2 linked regions of the Sus scrofa genome follow. The protein of the gene in region 2 interacts with the protein of the main gene of each other region in a pairwise test. Links are inferred from orthologs where the notes say so. Each region holds a gene or a part of one and is shown on either strand. Other genes may lie near its edges.

Region 1 (4,180 bases), on a different chromosome or scaffold from region 2:
ACATGCTTTTTTCCATTGCAATAAAGTGTCTTTTTGGTCTGAATGCTTCAACCCATATGAAATTTGTCACCTATTTCTTCTAATCAGGCTTCAGGTCTTTGGATCTTCAAAGAGATTTCTATGATATTACACTGTTTGGTTTTTCCACTGCTGAATTTCAGATGTTTCTCTACAACAAGGTATCCAAAGCATCTGTGTTACCTGAGCTTCCAGTGGTGCTTCTGAGCAGCTGTAGTAAGAAGCAGTGTCCTCCCCACTGGCTTGGGAGTCTAAAAGACAGAAATAGAAATAAAGTAAGCAAGGGAGTTCCCGTCATGGCTCAATGGTCAACGAACCCTACTAGTATCCGGGAGGATGCTGGTTCAATCCCTGGCCTTGCTCAGTGGGTTAAGCGTTTGCCGTGAGCTGTGGTGTAGGTCACAGACATGGCTCAGATCCTGCATTGCTGTGGTTGTGGCACAGGCTGGCAGCTGCAGCTCCGATCAGACCCCTAGCCTGGGAACTTCCATATGCTGTGGGTACGGCCCTAAAAAAAAAAAAAAAAAAGGAAAGAGAAAAAGTAAGCAGGAGTCTAGCATCTAACCCTCTCCAGGATCATCAAGAAAGGTAAAAAAACCACAAAGATATTAAAAGTCTAGGAGTCCCTGACATGTCCTTTTCTCCAGAGTTAACAGCACATTTATCCAGAGTGCCCAGGCAGTTGAACAGAGAAAAAGCCATCCAGTAAGCTCTAATTTGTAGGAAGACATCCCTGCGAAAAATTTTCCACCTGTCAAACTTCACTGCTTTCATTAACATCATATTCTTTTTTTTTTTTTTTTTTGCCTTTTGAGGGCCACACCCAAAGCATATGGAAGTGCACAGGCTAGGGGTGGAATCGGAGCTGTAGCTGCTGGCCTACACCACAGGCAGAGCAATGTGGGATCCGAGCCTCGTCTGGGTCCTACACCACAGCTCACACCAAAGCCGGATATTTAACCCACTGAGTGAGGCCAGGGATCAAACCTGCCTCCTCTTGGATACTAGGGGGGGTTTGTCACCAGTGAGCCATGATGAGAACTACATCGTATTCGTCATTCTCTATCTGTACCTATTCCCAAAGATTAAATTTACTTCCAATCCCAATTTTAGGTAAATGCACAAATAAATGTGGAAGACTCAAATTGTGTCCATGTGAACAAAGGGAAGCAGGAAAAATCAACCTCATGGATTTCACTTGATTCAGCACTGTTGAAAACACAGACGTGGAGGTTATTTAAACGAGAAAAGCGGTACTAGAGGAAAAAGAACAATTATTTATGTTTCTGGGGCAGAAAAAGAGGTCAAGGGGGAGTCACTCAAGAGGAAGCATTATTAACAGATTTCCAGGGTTTAAAAAAAAAAATAACAGGTTCCTGTGTGTGTGTGCATGTGTAAAATTTTCTAAGTGACAACTTTGTACTAAGTGCTGAATCAAGTGTGACACAAACTGAAAGCATTGCCTTCATCCTCACCTAGCTAACAATGGGGAAACAAAATTCATGTTAAGCTGTCAATATCTGAATCTTCACACACCAGAAACAATAAGCACTGAAGAAGAGAGTCTTAACCTCTGAAAACAGAGAAAGCAGCACTGACCAGTACTTGGAGAAACTACCCACTGTGCTGTCCAAGTCCTACAGAACCCTGCAAGCCTCAAACCAAACTGAAGACATTTCTCTCAAGATCTACACGGTGCGTGGGTACAATAAATGCGACAAGACAGGAAAACAAGGTAGAAACACAAATCTTTGGTTCCATAAACACAACTTTTCACAGTGGGCACAGTCTGTATACCCTCTTTGCCAGCAGTTCCAGTAAGTGAAAAGCAGTTAGCTTTCTCCCTCATTTCCAAGAGAAACTGGGGTCACACATTCAATCCCAGAATGATCCTTGCTCCATACAATTAAAATATTAAAGAAAACCTGCCTCTAGGTCACTGAGGGGTTAGCCAATCACAAGCTAATAAAAGGACTGAAAGAGGCAAAAGGTCTGCGGGAATGACAACAAAGAGCCAAGCCTGAGCACCAGGTTCCCACGACGGCAAAACACATTTCGGAATCTGAAACCTCGTCACTGTAGGGGCTCAATGAGGATTTCTCCAGGGGAAGACCTAACTTGCGAGCCCAACCGAGCTAACAGGAAAGGGGGACCATTCCGGAGAACTGCCAACACTGCCAGCAGAGCCCGGAATCAAGAGGCTGATCCCAGCCTAAGACTCGAATTCGCTGAGAGAGGTGCGCCCGCCAGAAAGAGAGGAGCTTAGAAGAGACCAGGGGTTATGGCTTCCCGTGAACCCTCAGTCCTCTCAACAACAGAGGAAGGGCCCGAATTTGGGAAATCTGCGGTCAGAAAGTCGGGGTCGACCTTTCAGGCAGAGGGGCAGGGGCGAGGCCCCGCAGGCAATGCTTCCTTGTTTGGGGGCAGCTTCCCGCCCCCAGGACTCGGATACCTCGGCCCACAGGGACACAGCCTGGGGCCGCTCTCTGGGCCGGGCCAGTGAGAAGCGGTCGGGGGTCTAGGCGCGGCCTCTTTCGCTCCCTCGGTCCGCGGGGCAACCGGCTCCGGGGGGCCACTTCCTCCAGAGCTGCGAGCCCAGGCCTCATTGGCCGCAGTAAGGCCGACTCGGTAGCCCCCACTCCCGGCGACACTCACCGGCCCATCTCACGGCGCTCCCCGGGCTCCTCCCTCTTGTCCCGGAGCCGCCGCAACCGCGGCCGCCGCCATCCCCGGCGCCGGAGCCGCCCCACACCCAGCGCCCCCCCAGCCGGGCGCCCGGAGATGGCGTCAAGCGCGTACCGCCCCCGGCGCGGGGAGATTACGTCACGACCCGGACTGGCGAGCAATGCCCGGAGTACCGGGGAAGGGAGGAGGCTGGCTACCCGCCCATTGCCCCCAGCGCCCCCTCTGGTGGGAAAACGAACTCCTCCTCCTGGGTCCGGTCACGTGAATAGGGCCTGGCCAGGCGTCCTCACCCTGACCCTACAATGACCCTGCAGTCTCTACTCAATAAACTTTGGGGGCTACAAAAAGAGCCCTGAGGCGTGGTGGTCAGCGATCCTCATTTCCTGGACAGTCTTGTGAAGCTCTTCTTGGGAACCTCGGGAAACTTTGAGACAAGCCCGGCCCAGGAGAGTAAAGGGATTCCCCTAGAGATTTAGGAGTTAGAAATGGCTCTGAGAGGGATGAGAATGGACAGAACCCAGGATTCAGGGGAAGGTGAAGCTACTGACTAGAATGTCTTGAGGAATGAGAGGAAGGGGGTTAGCTAGTTACGATGGCAAGCAGCCTAATTTAGTGGCAAGAGGGCCTGAGTACTCCATGAGCTATTATTAGGTCACCCTTCCTTGCCAGTTAACTAGTCGACTTTATATAAACATCTGATTAACTTAAGTGGAAAAAAATTAACATCAGTTGAACATGTGCTTTGATTACAACTATGTACGAAAAGTAGTTCTGCGTCCAGACAGAAGCTGGGCTGAGAAAAAAATAACTTTAGCTATTGGAGAGATTGGATTCTGAGTAGATTTTCCCCTTTTCAGTTGCTGCAAATTTTGTGCAGTAAGTAGTAGCTGACTTTTGTTTGATTTTGAAAGTACTATCCAGCCTTACGAAAGTTGCTTTACAGAGTTCCTGTGGTGGTGCAGTGGTTAATGAATCTGACTAGGAACCATGAGGTTGCAGGTTTGATCCCTGGTCTTGCTCAGCAGGTTAAGAATCTGGCATTTCCATGAGGTGTGGTTGTAGGTTGCAAACGTGGTTCAGATGTGGTGTTTCTGTGGCTCTGGTGTAGGTTGGGGTCTACAACTCCAATTGGACCCCTTCATATACAGTGGAGAGCGGCCCTGGGGGGGGGTCATTTTACTATTTGAGACTTGGGTTTTTCCACTTTTTCTTTTTTTCCCCTTTTTTTTTTTGCTTTTTTATGGCCACACCTATGGCATATGGAGGTTCCCAGGCTAGGGATCTACTTGGAGCTACAGCTGCCAGCCAGTGCCACAGCAACACCAGATCCAAGCTGCATCTGTGACCTACACCACAGCTCACGACAATGCCAGATTCCCGACCCACTGAGTGAAGCCAGGGATTGCACCGGAAACCTCATGGTTCTTAGCTGGATTCGTTTCTGCTACACCACGGCGTGAACTCCTCCACTTTTTCT
Region 2 (3,978 bases):
CAATAAATAGCAAAAAGACAAAAAAAAAAAAGAATGTTCAGTGATGTTTATTTTAAAAGAGTACTTTAGGAGTTCCTTGTGGCTCAGCAATAACGAATCCGGCTGGTATCCATGAGGATGCAGGATGGACCCCTGGCCTCTATACAGCGTTGCCATGGGCTGGTGGGCTGGCAGCTGCAGCTCCAATTCAACCCCTAGTTTGAGAACCTTCATATGCTGCAGGTGCGGTCCTAAAAAGCAAAATGAGTACTATAAAAAGACTAAAGACTATTAAATTATTAACCGACCCGTGAATTTTCTCAAGCTTCCATTCTAATCTTTATCTCTTTCGAGAAACATGGTTTGTGTTTTATTAATACAGCATAGTTTAGAATTTGCTTATTATTTAGTAATATTAAAAAATTCTTCCATTTTAGTCTGGTCAACTACTTTGTAAACTCCCAGAGCCAGAACCTTGTTTCATAACCTGTGTTCACATGTGTCTTGTGTTTACTACATTGTAATGATTTGTTACTCCTTCTCTCCTTCCTAAAGTCCTGAGAAATTCTAAGGCAAAGAGCAAAGCTTACTTGTATCCTGAAGGCTTGGAAATCAGACACAAAATAGCTCTCAATAAATGTTTGTTGAATGGATAAATGAATGAATTAATCTTTCTTCTCCCTTTGCAATGCCTCACACAATACTCTACACATAACAGGAACTCGGTAAAGCTCGTCAATGGATTCATGGAGAAATCATTTGGACCCAACCACATAAAGCTTTATCTTGCTTCAGAAAAGCACTTCAACTTTAAAGCTCAGCTACTAAAATTACAAACTAAAAGTTTTAGTCTAACACATATAAAATACATAGGTTCAATGACTAACCACATCAAGGCTAGCTACAGAAGTATTAAAATCCATTTTTTTAACTAATGAATTTGTGAACCTCAACATGGAAAAATTCAGTTACATAATCAAAAGAGAGGTTATGTCCTGCAAATTTATACCTACAAAAGATAGTGAGAAAAAAATTATCAAAAAGCTTATATCTGCACATTGAAATAAATTATTTTTATGCCTGAACTGAAGCCATTGTTTTCACTAGAAATAAGAGTTAACAGCAAAGTGGTCCAAACTTGTCTCTATAAAATAGTCTTTGAGACTGAGAGTAAATGTTTTGATCTCTCAGTGATTTTTAACTCCTGGAAGACTCCTTTTATTAACAGATATTCAAAACCCTGTCTCCTAAAATAAAACTTTATTTTCTAAAAGGCAAACAATCTGAGTAGGCACACTTTCGGAACACTAGGTTTTTATATTCCAGCACTAAAACTATCCCTGGTGTTCAGCCTGGTACTGCTGCAACAGAAACACTTTTCTTAGTTTTTAAATTACATTTGAGTTAAGGTTTAAATGTAGTACTACACATTCTTTTACTGCATCATCTAAACTGATTTTTACACTGCATATATAAATTCATAAGTATACCGTAAAAGAATTCTACACTTGAATGAATCTGGGAAGAAACGTGAGCTCAACACACACCCCCTTCTTCCAACTCAATACGATTCAGAAGAAGCACATCGTTTTTTTCTCAGGAATTTCTCTCTCCCGCCCCCATCCCACACTTTATTTCAGAGCAGAAATCATTCATTCTCCCACTCACAGTCTTTCCACCCAAAGAAGCTTCCCAACTAATACTATTTCAGCAGGACTCTCCTTTCACATCTCAGAGTGCGTGAAGGATTTCTTTGGAAGGGGCGGTGAAGGTCCGGGACACCACCACTCCCGCCATGCATTTTAGGTCCTAGCGCGCAGTCCCCCACCATCCTCATGCGGACCCCAGGAAACTGCGATGGTCTGACACCGCAACCCCCCATATCCGCTAGGGCAAAGCAAACCGGGCCCAACCTCTGGGCTCCCATTCAACATAGCCTCCACCTGGCTGTACCCCGCTTCTCCCCACTTATTCCCAGTGTAGCCTGGTCTCATTATCCAATTTGGAGTCCCATAACCATCTTGCTCCCAACACACAGAACACACACACACACACCCTTCTACACTCCCGCCCCTGCCCCTTGAGCCCTACTACACCCGGGTCCCTTCCTCCGGGACCTCCCGGCAGCTCCAGCCCTCCCGCGTGCCCTAGTGCAGACCGGCGCCCTGTCCCTATACCCACAAGACCCGCGTCCTACCCCACACGTCACACTCGGGCCCATTCCTCCCGCGACCCGACCTTCCCCACCCCCTCCCTAGGCGCTACCCCCAGCACCCCGTTACCTCCGGCCCCGCCCCCCTGAGGGTGTCGCACTCACCGCTTCTGCCACCGCATCCTTAACCGCCGCGGCTGCTATAGCTACAGGGAGCCAAGGCAACCAGCTCTCGCGACACTTTCTTTAGCTACGGCGAGAACAGCAGGGAAGAGCTTCTCGCAAGAAAGTAAACGAGTCAGGCTCGAGACGGCTAAGTATATCTCGCGATAGTGTTGTGTAAGATGGCGTCCGCGAGGCGCTTCAGAGGTGGCCTGGAAAGGTCTGGAGGTGGACGAAGGCGGGGAAGGATCTTGAGCTGGCGGGAGAATCGAAGAACAATTGCAGGCAGGGCTGGAGGAAGTTAGTACGGCGAAGTTTTACACTGGAATAACTTTAGGAATGTGGCCCTCTTTTCCCAGTGCCTCGAACTTAGAGCAGTGTTGCCTTTAGCTGAAGTTCCGAATTCCTGGCATTTTATTTCTCCACCCAGAGTAGAGATTGAGTGAGCAAGCCGGGAATTGACCTATTCTCCACGTTAACCTTCCTTCAGGAAATATCCATCCTTTCTTCCCCTACCCTGGTTTGTGAATGGTATTTGAATTCGCAGAAATGTTTGTTTATCCACGGGTTCTCCACCCCCATCAATTCACCAGAACAAAATCGGAAATAAATATGTTTTGTTTTGTTTTTTAATCGAACATAAGCACAGGTGTTTGGCCTTGCGTGCCGAAGGAGTGCCATGCTGGTTGGTGTGTGGTCTGAACTTTGCAGTTGTTGCTTGCCACCCTGTGGGCACATCCTTACCTGATGACTCCCTCAACACCTAGTTGTAAAGGCTTTCTGCTGTCAGCAGTAAATGCAGACTAAGATGTTGAAACAGAAGATGAATATAAAGGAGTTCCTGTCATGGCTCAGTGGTTAAGGAACCTGATTAGTATCCGTGAGGACTCGGTTTGATCCCTGGCCTCCTTAGTAGGTTAAGGATCCCCTGTTGCCCTGAGCTGTGCAAATCGCAGATGCAGCTCAGATCCCATGTTGCTGTGATTGTGGCATCTGCAGCTCCAATTGGACCCCTAGGCTGGGCACTTCCCTGTGCCCCAGGTACAGCCCTAAAAAGCAAAATAAATTTTAAAAAATGATATTTAGTAACTCATTTAAGCTCAAAATATTTCAACGTGTAATCAATACTTCAAAATTGTTATTATTATCATTATTATTTTGGTCTTTTTAGGGCCTCACGTGCGGCATATAGAAATTCCAAGACTAGGGGTTGAATCTGAGCTGACCTACATCACAGCCAGATCTAAGCTGCATCAGTGACCACAGCTCATGGCAAGGCAGAATCCTTAACCCACTGAGCAAGGCCAGGAATCGAACCTGCGTCCTCATGGATACGTCAGATTTGTTTCCACTGAGCCATGTCGGGAACTCCCAATACTTTGAAGTTATTAAGGAGATATTTTATGTTCCTTTTTTTTTTTCTTTTTGGCTGCATCCATGGCATGTGGAAGTTACCAAGCTGCTTCAGTGATAATGCCATATCCTTAACCCACTGCTCCACAGAACTCCTTATGTTCCTGTTTTCATATTGAATCTTCAAAATCCAGTGTTTTTAGGCTAAGCATATCTCAAGAGCACAATAGCCACAAGTGACTAGTAACTACAGTTTTAGACAGCAAAGCGGTAGACCCTATCCCAAGGAATACATTATCTGGGCAATTTCAGAGGCATATTATTATGGGCAT

The links.
Region 1: the proteins of USP54 (region 2) and ATXN1L interact in binary tests that used the Homo sapiens proteins (3 or more experiments, as listed by UniProt). The link is inferred for Sus scrofa from reciprocal best matches to the Homo sapiens genes USP54 and ATXN1L.

The regions. Positions count from the first base shown.
Region 1 is NC_010448.4:14,835,352-14,839,531, reverse strand, and holds the start of ATXN1L (ataxin-1-like), read right to left. Parts: upstream 2,801-4,180; 5' UTR 2,674-2,800; intron 270-2,673; 5' UTR 202-269; intron 1-201. UniProt on the Homo sapiens protein: Chromatin-binding factor that repress Notch signaling in the absence of Notch intracellular domain by acting as a CBF1 corepressor. Binds to the HEY promoter and might assist, along with NCOR2, RBPJ-mediated repression.
Region 2 is NC_010456.5:76,437,043-76,441,020, forward strand, and holds the start of USP54 (inactive ubiquitin carboxyl-terminal hydrolase 54), read right to left. Parts: upstream 2,801-3,978; 5' UTR 2,297-2,800; intron 2,211-2,296; exon of another isoform or gene 2,177-2,210; intron 1-2,176.